Linked DNA regions of Mus musculus. The protein of the gene in region 1 interacts with the protein of each later gene in a biochemical or structural test. Links are inferred from orthologs where the notes say so. Each region holds a gene or a part of one and is shown in the gene's direction. Other genes may lie near its edges.

Evidence for each region. The genes of interacting proteins can lie anywhere in the genome.
Region 2: the proteins of Ubc (region 1) and Usp3 form a complex in vitro, tested with the Homo sapiens proteins (6 studies listed by BioGRID, with this or other methods). The link is inferred for Mus musculus from reciprocal best matches to the Homo sapiens genes UBC and USP3.
Region 3: the proteins of Ubc (region 1) and Ubac2 form a complex in vitro, tested with the Homo sapiens proteins (5 studies listed by BioGRID). The link is inferred for Mus musculus from reciprocal best matches to the Homo sapiens genes UBC and UBAC2.

What each region holds. Positions count from the first base shown.
Region 1 is NC_000071.6:125,387,218-125,391,356, reverse strand, and holds the start of Ubc (polyubiquitin-C), read left to right. Parts: upstream 1-1,339; 5' UTR 1,340-1,447; intron 1,448-3,092; 5' UTR 3,093-3,095; coding exon 3,096-4,139.
Region 2 is NC_000075.6:66,589,944-66,594,836, reverse strand, and holds the start of Usp3 (ubiquitin carboxyl-terminal hydrolase 3), read left to right. Parts: upstream 1-1,721; 5' UTR 1,722-1,962; coding exon 1,963-2,053; intron 2,054-2,055; exon of another isoform or gene 2,056-2,324; coding exon of another isoform or gene 2,325-2,673; intron 2,674-4,893. UniProt on the Homo sapiens protein: Deubiquitinase that plays a role in several cellular processes including transcriptional regulation, cell cycle progression or innate immunity.
Region 3 is NC_000080.6:121,877,126-121,881,777, forward strand, and holds the start of Ubac2 (ubiquitin-associated domain-containing protein 2 precursor), read left to right. Parts: upstream 1-1,480; 5' UTR 1,481-1,618; coding exon 1,619-1,649; intron 1,650-2,082; exon of another isoform or gene 2,083-2,283; intron 2,284-4,652. UniProt on the Homo sapiens protein: Restricts trafficking of FAF2 from the endoplasmic reticulum to lipid droplets.

The sequences.
Region 1 (4,139 bases):
ACCCTGTCTCAAAAAAACTCAAAAAATGCTGAGATTAAAGGCATTTAATAGTGTGTGTCCATCTAAGTGTGTGCCACATGTATGTGAAAGTGTCCCTAGGGACATTGGACCCTCCTGAAGCTGGAGTCACAAGCTAGCTGCCTGACAGGGTTGCTGGGTATTGAATTCATGTACTCTGGAAAAAGACCTGTTCCTACTGGGGAGCCATCTCTCCCCATCAGGGATTCAATTCTTACCTTCTAAGGTCTTAGGCCTTACATTTCAAAAACCTGAGCTGGGCAGTGGTGGCGCAGGCCTTTAATCCCAGCACTTTGGAGGCAGAGGCAGGTGGATTTCTGAGTTCGGGGCCAGCCTGGTCTACAAAGTGAGTTCCAGGACAGTCAGGGCTACACAGAGAAACCCTGTCTCAAAAAACCAAAAAAAAAAAAACAAAACAAAACAAAACAAAAAAAACCCTGAATAATTTGATTCGTATAAGTGGGATATATGCTTGCTGTAATCTGAACATTGTACTACACGTGCACATTTGTGCTTTTTTGTTTTTGTGGGGGTTTTTTGTTTGGTTTTTGGTTTTTCAAGTCAAGTGTAGCCCTGGCCATTCTGGAACTTGATCTGTAGACCATACTTGGGAGGCAGAGGCAGGAGGACCTATATAAACTTGAGACCAGCCTGGTCTACATAGCATATTCCAGGACAGGCAGGGCTACACAGAGAAACCCCCATCTGAACAACAAAAATTTAAAAATCAGGGCTTCAGTGGGTTCAGTCTCAGAATATGAACAACAAATATGAACAACATTTGGAAATTTTGACCTTTACTTAGTGACAAGCACATAGAAAACATAGAACCTTCTCGAATCCAAGGACACAAGGTTTAGGAAAAATCTGGAAAGATCAGGTTCTGCTGGGCTTCAGATCTAATGCCAACAGTTTTCAAGAACTGTGTAGACTGTCTGCTTTCCTTGACAAACTCAGATTCGTTTTTCCAAATCGGGGAGAGATTCCCTCCTTCGTATTTTTTTTTTTTAAATTTATTAAAAACCCTTTGTCATTTTCCTTGTTAGGAGATTTGCACAGTCATCCACCCTGTCACTGTGCCAAAACAGTGAGGGCTGGGCATAGTGACCCGCCGGGGATGAGGGGATTGAGGAGGCGAGGTCACCAATGGGATCCCAGTGTGACAGGAGCCAAAGCCCTGGGTCCCCCTAGCGCGGAAAGAAAACAGGGGGGGTGGGGGGTGGTGGCCTGACTAGGGGCGCCAGGCCGCGAAGCCGCAGGGCGCCTGCGCCAAGGCCCGCTCCGGCCTCAGTGATCCCAGCCGTGTTTTCGTGCCGATCGTCTCACGCGCGCTGATCCCTCCGCGGAGTCGCCCGAGGTCACAGCCCTGCCCTCCCACACAAAGCCCCTCAATCTCTGGACGCCACCGTGAAACAACTCCGTGAGAGAGGTACCTTGATAGTTTTAGCCTGTCGCTTTCGCTGCCGAGACTGGACCCGGCGTTACAAAGTAGTCCCTGACCGCATTGCCCGCGGAGGGACCGCGCGGAAGGGGGGGGGCGGGGCTTCGGTGACTATATAAAGAGACGCCGGGCGTGCCGCAGCTAGTTCCGTGGAGACTGCGAGTTCCGTCTGCTGTGTGAGGACTGCCGCCACCACCGCTGGTGAGGAGAAAGCCGCCGCACCCGGTCGGGGACGGGAGGCTGGAGGCGAGACGGGGCGAGAGGCAGCCCCGCGGCCCAGACGTTTGGTTTCCGTGGCCCGCGCGGACCGCGGCTGCCCCGAGGCAGAGGACTGGGCGGCAAGATGGCGGCCAGATGGAAGCCTGAGGGGGAAGACGCGGGGCTCTGACGCGCAGGACGAGGTTGGGGGAGGAAAAAGGCCCGCGAGGCCGCTGCCCTCCGGTTAAGCCGGGGACGTCGGAGACTGTGGGGTGGGGACTGAATTAGGGTTGCGCGCCGTAGGAGCCTCTGCTGTGAGAGCCGTGGATATTGGGCTGGCCCGAGAGGTCGATTGGCCCGGCGTTCGTCCGTTCGTTTGCTGAAAGACGGAAGTGCGATCGAGACCGGAAGGGGGTTGGGCGGCGGTTCAGCCTGCCTGGCCTGCCGCCCCCTGTGACGTCGCGGGTTGCGTGGCCTCCTAATGGATAGTGACGTCACTATCTTGACTTTAGCTTTCCCTCGGTTGTAGGACAGGGTTTGGGTCTCGGCCTCCGGTAGCCTCTCCAGAGTAAACAGGAACCGGAAATTCAGAGGGGAAATGTGAGCCATTCTTGTCCTGTTTCGTTTTAAGAATGTCGCTGTACAACTATGACTACTGAAACTTTTGGGGGGGGGGTTCGAGACGGTTTCTCTATGTAGTCCTGGCTGTCCCGCATCTCACTCTGTAGATCAGGCTGGCCTCGAACCCAGAAATCCTCCTGCCTCTGCCTCCCAAGTGTTGGGACGAAAGGCACCACCATTGTCCTGCGACAAGGGTGTTTTTTTTTAAACTGTCAAAATCTCTGCCTCTACCACCCCATGTGATGAGGTCCAAGGCCAGTACCACCACTCCAGACTAATTTTAATCGTTCAGACAAAAGTTTGGTGTTCTTTTGGGGGAAGGAGAGTTGAGGCAGGATTACACTGTCTCTGGCTGACCTTCCAGTTAGAGATCTGCCCACCTCAGTGTCCCCAGTGCTGAGGTCAGCGATAGGCATGGGCTCAGACTTAGTTTTGCAGTAGTAACTTGCTATATTACCATTCTGAAACTGAATCCGGGACTGCTGTGGTTTCATAACCTCCCAGAGGTCAGGCTTTTCTGCAAACTGTTCAAATAGACAGAAATTGACTTTCAGCTGTTGGTATACTGAAGTCTCCATCCTGTAAATTTGGTAATACAAAAAGACTCACCATGCCGAGGTTTCTTAACTTTGTTAGTCAACAATCTTATTTTCTTGATGGTTTTTCGGGGTGGGGGGATTGGATTCAAGACAGAATCTGTGTAGATAGACCTTGCTATTTAGACTTATAGCATCCAGTTGACAAATGTTGATGCCATCCCACAAATATTTGTGTCATTCCTGACCTGTGAATTGTTTTGTATATTTTGTGACAGACGATGCAGATCTTTGTGAAAACCTTAACTGGTAAGACCATCACCCTGGAGGTCGAGCCCAGTGACACCATTGAGAATGTCAAGGCAAAGATCCAGGACAAGGAGGGCATCCCCCCTGACCAGCAGAGGCTGATCTTTGCAGGCAAGCAGCTGGAAGATGGCCGCACCCTGTCAGACTACAACATCCAGAAAGAGTCCACCCTGCACCTGGTCCTTCGCCTCAGAGGTGGCATGCAGATCTTTGTGAAGACCCTGACAGGCAAGACCATCACCCTGGAGGTCGAGCCCAGTGACACCATAGAGAATGTCAAGGCAAAGATCCAGGACAAGGAGGGCATCCCCCCTGACCAGCAGAGGCTGATCTTTGCAGGCAAGCAGCTGGAAGATGGCCGCACCCTGTCAGACTACAACATCCAGAAAGAGTCCACCCTGCACCTGGTCCTTCGCCTCAGAGGTGGGATGCAGATCTTTGTGAAGACCCTGACAGGCAAGACCATCACCCTGGAGGTCGAGCCCAGTGACACCATAGAGAATGTCAAGGCAAAGATCCAGGACAAGGAGGGCATCCCCCCTGACCAGCAGAGGCTGATCTTTGCAGGCAAGCAGCTGGAAGATGGCCGCACCCTGTCAGACTACAACATCCAGAAAGAGTCCACCCTGCACCTGGTCCTTCGCCTCAGAGGTGGCATGCAGATCTTTGTGAAGACCCTGACAGGCAAGACCATCACCCTGGAGGTCGAGCCCAGTGACACCATTGAGAATGTCAAGGCAAAGATCCAGGACAAGGAGGGCATCCCCCCTGACCAGCAGAGGCTGATCTTTGCAGGCAAGCAGCTGGAAGATGGCCGCACCCTGTCAGACTACAACATCCAGAAAGAGTCCACCCTGCACTTAGTCCTTCGCCTCAGAGGTGGGATGCAGATCTTTGTGAAGACCCTGACAGGCAAAACCATCACCCTGGAGGTCGAGCCCAGTGACACCATTGAGAATGTCAAGGCAAAGATCCAGGACAAGGAGGGCATCCCCCCTGACCAGCAGAGGCTGATC
Region 2 (4,893 bases), on another chromosome or scaffold:
CAGGCTCCACACTGAATGAGGGGCTGTGGGTTCACTGAATGAGGGTCAGTGCCCAGAGGACTCTGAGAAGGTTGCTTGAGAAAGACTTGTGAAACAAATAGATGGAAGAGACTGAATAGGGTTCAGATACTGTTTATTCTCCTCTCTCGTCCCAAGGAAGCAGTCATCTCCTTTTTTTTTTTTTTAATAAGAAAAACAAACCTTATCTGTTAATTACTACAGGTTAGGAATTCACACAGATAAGTACTGTTTTGCCAGTGGATAGGCGAGGAAAAAGAGTCGAGAGGACTAGCTAAGGTTTGCCATGAAGTACCTGCCAGAGCTGATCTGAACAACTTTCCACAATTTCTCACCATCAAAACCCGTCCAAGCCTTGTTTTGACAGCAATCATATACAACTTGGGGAAGTGGTAGAGTTGCTTGGACTGAGGAATCTGAAATACCACCCTGGGCAGAGATGTCCTAGGTGGGTGGACACTATCAGGCAGAAGGCTACAGGGTGCAGTAGTGGGGTGTACGGAAGTGGCTTAAGGGGTGCTAGAGGCGTGCACTTCAGGGAGGTGCCCAGTGCTAACTAACCACTATCCGGCCCAGCCAGTTAATCATTTCCTGACCTTTCCTTTCCTGCCCCATGGATTGGCACATTGTTCTTCCCTCTCCACTTGCTTGTCAGGGGATGAAGGAAAGAAGCCCCTTTACCAGGTTAAACACCACCAACCAAACAAAGAAAGAAAGCCCAACTTTGGAGGCTAGATTTGTGGGAGCCCCAGATATCCTCAAGGCAGAGAATGTGAGGTGGCAGGCTCTCTACCTCTAGACGCTCCTCCTGTCTTCTTCACTTCTTTCTAGAGAGAGATTTGAAGCGGGGGGGGGGGGGGTGCGGGGGTCCAATCTTCCTAAAGCAAATTATACTCTTGGTTTCACTTTTTGTTAAAAAGGGGACCGTAGCAGCAGCTTGAGAGGGTGTTTTGAGGATTAAATGAGGTGTGGTATGCAAAGTGCCTGGCTGGGAGCCAGGTGGGCTTCTAACAAATGTTACACTGCCTCTTTTTATTACCTAGCACCCGCGACCTTGTACAGCAAACTGGATTATTTCGTTCAACTTCAAGAGGTATAGGTATGAAAATACCCACAATGGGCAGGAGATATCAGTGAGTCATAACGGCATGGCGTGGACCCCGAACACAGGCGTTCCGGTGGGCCCAGCCGTGCAGTATCCCGGTGACACACTCAGGCCAGAGTTCAGAACTCAGAACAGTTCCGGACCCCGCCTGCTACCGGGAGAACACGAAAGTCAGGACTGTTCTGGGCTCTTTGCAGCCGGCTGGGCCATCGAGGGCCACGCCCCAAAAGTCTGTTTCTTCCTGTGTAAAATGGGGCTTCAATGCACGTCGGTGTGAGTGGTTTTCATTTTCCGTACTCTTTGCGGTGTGGTCACATATTCTACCTCGCTGTTGTAGCCAACTCACTGCAGTAGAAGCAGCGGTCCCGACCGCTCTGCCCCGGATGAGTACCCACACTTGTCGGGTTCCCAAGAATCGGCTGCAGCGGCCGGGGGCAGATTTCGGAAAGTCACTTCACATCCCCGTAGGACTTTACACTAGCTGCTAGCACTGGGTGAGCACCAATGCCCCGCCCACTGACTAGTGTGGGGGCGGGGCCCGGGCTGGCCTGGGGGCGTAACCAGCAGGGTGGGCGGGGCCGCCGGAGAAGGCGGAAGCCTACTGTCCCTGGGCGGCGGCAGAACCAGGAGTCCGGATTTTCACGTTCTCCGGAGCGGGGCGCCGGGAGACGGCGGATGGCAAAACCCGGCGCCCGGAAGCCCTTGCTTTCTTTGACGCAAAGGCTCGGGACCCAGAAGCCGCCGTCTGCCCAGTGCCGGGTCAGAAGCGACCCCAGACGGAGCCTCTGAAGTCCCTCCGCCCCAGAGCCTCGGCTGTCCCCGCCGCCGTCCTCGTGGCCATGGAGTGTCCGCACCTCAGCTCCAGCGTCTGCATCGCCCCGGACTCAGCCAAGTTCCCCAACGGCTCCCCGTCGTCCTGGTGCTGCAGCGGTGAGTGCGGCTCTGGGGCTGGCCGGCCGCGCACCCGAGGTCCCGGCTCTGGCCCGGGCCTTGCCGTCGAAGGGCCGCGGGTGCGGGGCAGCGCGCGGCCTCGTTGGGGGGGGGGGGAGGCTGAGGGGAGCAAGCGGGCCCGGCGCGCGGGGCGAGGGGACGCGGCGCGGCGCGGCGGGCGCGGTGGCGGCTCCTTTGTTTCGCGCGGCCCGACGGCCGGGCCGGCTGAGGAGAGGCCCGCGGGGGCCTGAGGCGAGCGCGCAGCGGCGGGATGACGCGGCGGCTCGCACCCCAAGGCTCCGCGAACCTAAGGGCCGGCTCCGCGCGCGGCCGCACGTGTGGCGGGGTCGGGCTCGCGGTCCCCCGTGGGCCGGACAGGCAAAGCGCCGCTCTGCGGGCGCAGCTTTGTCTGGACTGCCGGCGCGCGAGCCCCTTTGGGTTGCGTTTCCTCGGGTTCCCACAGGCTCCTGCCTCCCCCGCAGCCCCTGAGCGGACTGCGCTGGGGGCTGCTCACCTCGGAGTCTCTCTTCAGCCTGTGAGGGTGAAGTTTGAAAACAGGCTGCGGGCTCCGAAAGCTCCGGAGAAGGCAGCCAACAGCTGCTTTGGAGGGGCGGCTCGAGGTTGGGTGTTTTGGGTTTTTTTGTTTTTTTTTGTTTTGCCTTTCGAAGATTGTTCCGAGGCAGTTTTTCGGGTTGGCAGGGATTTCGTTGGGAATTCCCGAGTGCGTGTAAGACACTTCGTAGGTTTATGTTATGCCTTCGAGTTGCTTAAGCGTTAACTCCTTCTGCTTCCTTGGAAGCCCCGGTGCCCTCTCATTGTCTGCCGGGACTTAAGGTCGGACGGGCCACCCGGCTTTGATTACTTCCTGGTAGGGCCCTGGTGCCGACGCTGGTCTTTGTTTATGAGCTTTAAGATTATCACTGGCAGCTTGGGCTGTAGTGTAAAATGTGAATCGTGTGCATCAGAAATCAAGTTCATCTGCAAGGCTGAAAAGACGGTGGGACGATTCAGCAGAGTGGTCTTTCAGCCTGGGTTGGATTGGAGCTAGGAAGGTAGTTTAGGGACTGCTTTAATACTTTTGACGTACTACTTCTTCAAAGGGGATTATATTCTTGAAGCAAAATATACGGGGTAACACAAGGAAAACTGTCCTCCAGGATAAGGAATAGAAATAACTGCAGTTTTCTGGAGCTCCAAGACTTGGTGTCTTGCTTACCTTTGTAAAGTCAGGTGTCTTTCTTCTGTTCTGCATGAAGCCTTTAAAGATTAATAAGTTAATTGGTTTCACAGGACAGTATTGCAGTTCCTTTGGTTTGTGAGACTGGGTTTCTATGATAGCCCAGGGTGACCTAGAATTTATAATTTTCCTCTCTCAGCCCTTGGAGTGCTGGGATTATAGGCATGTGCTACCCCTTCTGGGCCAGTATTGCAGTTCTTTGTGGGAGTGCAGAACTTGTGTGAATGGGTCTTACCTGTAAATACATCTTCAACAGTGAGTCTTGAGCTTGGAACATAACACTACCAACAACAGGCCAGTCCATGTGGTCTGTTAGTTCATTAGCTGTAGCTGTGGGGCTATAGTTGAATTTTCTCAAGAGAGATTTGTCACACACACACACACACACACACACACCCTCTCACTAGGAAAAGCTTACACCTCACAAGGAATGGGGCACTTCTTGTTCATCTGTAGTCAACTACAGGGATTCCGAGATGGGTGTATCAATACAAGCCTAATTTTTTTTCTATGTAAAATTATATCAAACTTAGAAATGGCTTCACTGTGCACATGCATCTAAAAAAATTATGCAAGTGGCAGGTATCCTGTTGTGAGTCAGTCTTGCCTCCATCAGTTAGGGAGTCCACTTTGGGGAAAAGAGACAGCAAATGAAGCCCCTCTTGAGGAATTCAGCACATTAAAATGGAGCATAACTGGGAGACTTGTGCTGAAAACAAGAACAAATTAGTAATGGAAGGGTGATTTCTTTACAACGTGCAGTAAATGGTTGCCTCTGACCCTGTTTTGGAAGGATGGGTCTAATCACTTGCATTTATAGTACTAATAAAGCTAGTTTCACAACTCAGTGGGTGTTTTTTTTTTTTTTTTTCTATCTCAGGCTTATTTCATAATGGCCTCCTATTTTAACCTGTTGGCATCCCTTCATTGGTACAATCAAATATTATTGTATAAAGCTTGATCTTGTTCTTGCCTGTCTGTAGTTTCAGTAATTAAATGATTGGTAAATCTGTGATCCCTTAACCAACTAACTCATCATCTTGGAGTGTTATGTATTCTGGCTTTTATTTTTCTTCAACAATCCTGTATGTATGTAGGTAGGTATGTATGTATGTGTGTATTATTTTTGGTAGGAGATTAAAAGGGTAGCCAGTGTGTTGAAGTAATGCTCTGACTGGTATTGAGTGTCATACACTCTTACTGAGGAGGGAGAAAATCCCTGTTTTGGCACCTAGACAATAAAAGTAATGCCCCTGCCTTATTTTCATTGGGAGTATGCAAATATACCCCAGTGAAACAGCCAGGCAGATTGCAAAAGACCAGCAGCACAGACTCTAGCAGGCACCACCTCTGTGGACCAGCACTCCCGATTCCTTGAGTGTGAGTTTCAATATGTCATCCGGAGAAAGAACAGTGCTTTGGATTTACTCACAGGTCTCTGTTAGGATGAGCAAGATTGTGTGTGAAAGTCTGAGAAACTACTGCTTTCTTGTGTCTAAGTAATTTAATGGTATCACAGACTAGTACATTTTTATAAATAGGACTCTGAAAATTAAATGTCTAAGCCTATTAAATGGAGCTCAAACACATTGACTATATGATG
Region 3 (4,652 bases), on another chromosome or scaffold:
TGAATTTGTGACGATTGAGTTTTCATGTTGATATCAGTCAGTATGTGCAACTGCTACAAAACTTCTGACTACTGTTCATCTCACAGCTTTCTATCTTTTCAGATTTCAGATCTTCCAAACATACTAATGTTCAACGGAATGAGGAATTTACTTCATTTCTTCCTCTCTAACCCTGATTAGATAATAACCTTTTATAGTTTATATTAGTTTACCATAAGTGGTTACTATCTATAATATATAGGACTTAAGTAGACAGGATTAAATTTCAAAACAGTAATTTAAGAGACATAATGTGACTTTGAAGCTTTCCTTAAATCTACACTATCCCCCTCGTTTCTATGTATTTAACCACTATAGGGCCATTTCTTAGATGAATCAGGCAAAAATGTCCAAATTCAACCATTCAGTTTTGACACCGGGTACTTTCCTAGGCAAACCATTTTAAGGAAGAATGCTTTTAATGCCTGGCTCAATACCCTGTGGGGATTCCCTGCGCACTTCTCTCTTTTTAGTTTGTTGTGATGTTTTGGATGAAGTATATGAAGAAAAGCTCACCCAGAGTAGGTCTGGAATTAGAAAAGCAAGCACTTAGATTAAATGGCATTTTTCCCTCCATAAAATGTCAAAGTTTAAATGGTGGCTTCTAGATTACTTGCAACTGGGGATCTGCCTTAACACGCACTTGGTCGTCCTGCAGTTCCAGTTGGTTTATCAGGCGCTGGTTAATTGGAAAACCTTACTACTCATGGATGAAAAAGAACGGGAAAGGAAAAATACACGTTTTAGCATTACTACAAAAATCGGCCGGGTCTTCTGAACACCCTTCAGTGCTCCCAGGGACCCCATAGTTTGAGAACCAGTCTTAAGTGGGCTACAGATTTTGTGGGAATCAGCTTCTGCGAAGATCATAAGGAAATAATTTTCCTGCGAAATAACTCAACTGGATGAACATACAGTCCCCCCCCCCCCCCCCAAGCCCTGGCTGTCCTGGAACTCACTCTCTAAGACCTGGCTGGCCTCGAACTCAACCTCCCAAGTGCTGGGATTAAAGGCGTGCGCCACCACTGCCCGGAACAGAAAGCTAAGTGTATTTTTAAAACTTTTTCTTCTACTAGCCGTCTTGTCCACCCTCACCCCAGCAACCCCAGGTGCTTGGTGGGTCACCGGAAGCAGACTGTTCACTGAGCGCCAAGGCCCACACGGAAGTACTGAGCATGCGTGGGACTCGCGGCCGTCTCGCCCAGTGAAAGGTCAGAGGTCTCGAGAAAGGCCTGGTGTTCTGTGGCGGAAGAACCGGCTCGCTCACGGCGCTTCACGCCGTAAGGTTCTGTACTGGGAATTCTGGCATGCGCCAAACCCGCCCCGAACTACCGGAAGCAGCTACCATCCGGCTCGCCCGCACCTACGCACTTCCTCTCTGGGAAGGAAGGGGCGGGCTCTGGCCGAGTGTGCACGCCCCACGGGCTGCGCATGCGCCTTCTTCCTGGCGGCTCCGGAGCGCCTCGCCGGGCCGACTTCGCTCGCTGGTTGACAGTGCGCCTGCGCGGTCGCTGGGGGCTCTCCACCTCTGCCTCCCCTCCCCCTGACGCCCCGCGGGGGCTCCGGGCCCGGCGGGACCATGTTCACCAGCACCGGCTCCAGTGGGCTTTGTGAGTACCGGTTCCCTCATCCTTGGGCCGCCCTTCGCTCCATTCCGAGCTCTTCCCGGACCCGGCTCGGGGCAGCGGGGGACTCGGGGTTGCAGGAGGCTGGGGGCCCCTTGCCTCCCGCGCCCGAGCCTTGTCAGTTCTTGCTCTTAGGGGGCAGCGGGCGCCGCACCCACCATAGCCCCGAGGGCCGAGGGGGTGCCACGTCCATTCCGCTCCCGGCGTCTCCCACAAGGTGCGCAGCAGCTCCTGCCCTGCTGCAGGTGGGCTGGGCAGTTAGGGTCCAGCCGGGTGCCCCGCTCATCTCGTGGCCCGGGCCCACGCACGCACTTGGCGACTCGAGTGCGGGGCTGGAAGATGTTCCCGTGGGGGCGACGCTGGAACCCTGCTCGGTTCCCTCTCCCCCTTCATTCATACAGGCTTCTTTGGGACCCACCTGATTCCTGGAACGTGTGAATTTCATCCTCCGCTCCAGAATCTGCCCCCTCAATATTAACTTCCACGTACATCTTACCCGTTGTCCTTGAAGAGTTTTTGCGAGCTGAAAAAGTGAGCGCTTTTCAGTGAAGTTAGGAAGTCACTTGGCAAGAGAATGCAAGCTTTGCTTCTGGATGCCGCTGCACTCTCCAGGAGTGTCTGCGGTGGTCAGCAGGTAGAGGGCGGAGAAGTTTATTCAACCTCCAGGCACCCCCCCCCCCCACGACATTATGTTGAGTTGACTTTAGAGAGTGGACTCTTAACTAAACAGTGTTGAGATTAGGCATTGATACACTAACAGCAAACTGTTTGAACAAGCCGCAGTTCGCAGTTTCTTTCTCTGTCGGTATTTCCCATCTCTGCGTGTGAAGTTAATGTTGCTAGAGCACAGAAGTGCCTGGCATCTCCAGATGGTACATTCTGTTGTGAACGTCATGAGCCTTTCAAAGAACACTCCTGTTACATAGTCTGAGAGCTGACTGTCAGAGCCAGCGACATAATTTAAAGTCGTCCTCACCTCTCACCGTAATCTCAGGCTTTGAAGTAGGTTTAATGTTGTTTATGATCTCCATATTTAGTACCTAATTTAAGTTATGGAAACGTTGACGTATTGGCCCCAGAATCCATCAGAACTACTAGTGAGTTGGTCTTCAAACTACTGTTTGGATGAATAAGGTAGTGTGGCTTTCCTAGGGTTACACTATGTGGGTGGATCTGTCAACAGCAGATTTCTTCGATTTTAGTTGTTCTCAGCATCTTGAGGCACCCTTTTGTACCAAACATGTAAAAGTTAAAAAGTGACAGTCTGGGGACATGGCTCAGTGGTTATGAAGCTTGTCCTGCAGGCATGAATATCTGAGTTCTAATTCTCAATACCCATGTAAAAGCTAAGGCATGCAGTGTGTGTCTATAACTCACCAGTGAGAGGTGGAGGCAGGAGATTCCCCAGGGCTTTGCTGGCCAGCCAGTTTACTGTGTCAAAAAAAGTGGAGTGATTCAGAAAGACATCCCAATATCAGCATGCACACAGGTATACACGTGCACACACACGTGCGCACACATATGCACACGGGAGAAATCTGATCGAGGGCAGCACAGTATGGATTAGGTTGTAGTCGCATTTGTAGCACAGCTTTAAGAAAGGTAATCATTTGTTATAGCTGGCATGGGTGCGTGTTGAACAGGTGTGTTCTCAGGGCCAACTGTAGCCTAGGGAAAGCTGAGGTTATAGGTCCCTCTTGAGCTCCCTCGAGCCGGTGTTCAGAGCGGAGGAGTTACTGGGATGGCTTAGGTCATGCTTTAGGTGTGCATTTGACAAGCATCCAGGACCTGTGAACTGTTTGGTTTTGGAAACACGGTGTTAGGCAAGTCTTAGGTTCAATGTTTCTGATTTTGACAATAGAGCTTAGTGGTGGTTCTCCCTAGATCAGTCATTTGGCCGTTCCTGAATGTAATGACTTTTTCTTTTTCTTTCCTTTTGTTTTGTTTTGTTTTCTTTTTCTTTTTTTTTCAAGACAGGGTTTCTCTGTGTAGCCCTGGCTGTCCTGGAACTCACTCTGTAGACCAGGCTGGCCTCAAACTCAAGAGATCCACCTGCCTCTGCCTCCCAAGTTCTGTGATTAAAGGCGTGCGCCACCACCTCCCGGCTTGTAATGACTTTTCTTGCTTCAGTGTTTTCTCCTACATAGCTACTCCGCTGAGTGATGTCCTTTTAGGTAGGCAGCTGTGTGGCTCCGTGGTTAGGTCAAAGGTCTGATCCTGAGGAAGAAGCAAGCACCCTCAGAGGGGTGATTGATACATCTCTGCCTAGAGGCTGTGACTAGCCATCTTTCTGGCCATTTCCCGCACCTGCCTGCCCATCTGACATTTGTGATCAGGAGATAAAGGTGCTTTAGTGCTAACACTTCGCTCCCCTCCCGTTCATTCAGTTGAGGACCTCCTGAAGCCCTGCATGGTTTACATAGACAGTAATGTGGTAAACAGAGTAAAGGAGTCTAGCATCAAACAGGCCAGTCAGTAATCAAAGTGCTCTTCAGTACTGTCACGTGTAGTGGATGGTGGTCCTGGTAGAGGGCTGCTGTGTGTTTGCGGGAAAAGCCTGAGAAATGAAGGAGCCAGGCATGCTACGTACGGTTCCTTCAGAAAGTTGTTTTGAAGAAAGGAAGCAGCATGCACAAAGACAGAAGGTGCAGTGCAGCAGGATGTGTGCAAGGTTCTGCAGGAGGCGTGCGCTGCTAGGGCAGTGAACCAGGGGAAAGGGCGCTTGTGATTATTTCTTTGCCACTGTTTTGTTCTGTGTCAGTTAGGATTGGGTAAAAGTGCTTGTAGATAGTGTGCATAATGTAGTTTAAATTCTCACATGTAGACTAACCCTGTCACTAAATAATACATGTAACCATTTTATTAGTAAGAATTCTCATTACTCATAGCACAGAATATTTGCTTTGTATGATGCACCCAATAAGCACTAATTACCATGTTTAACATATCCCAGGTCTAGTTAGTTCGCAAGCAATTCAGTGTCAAGGG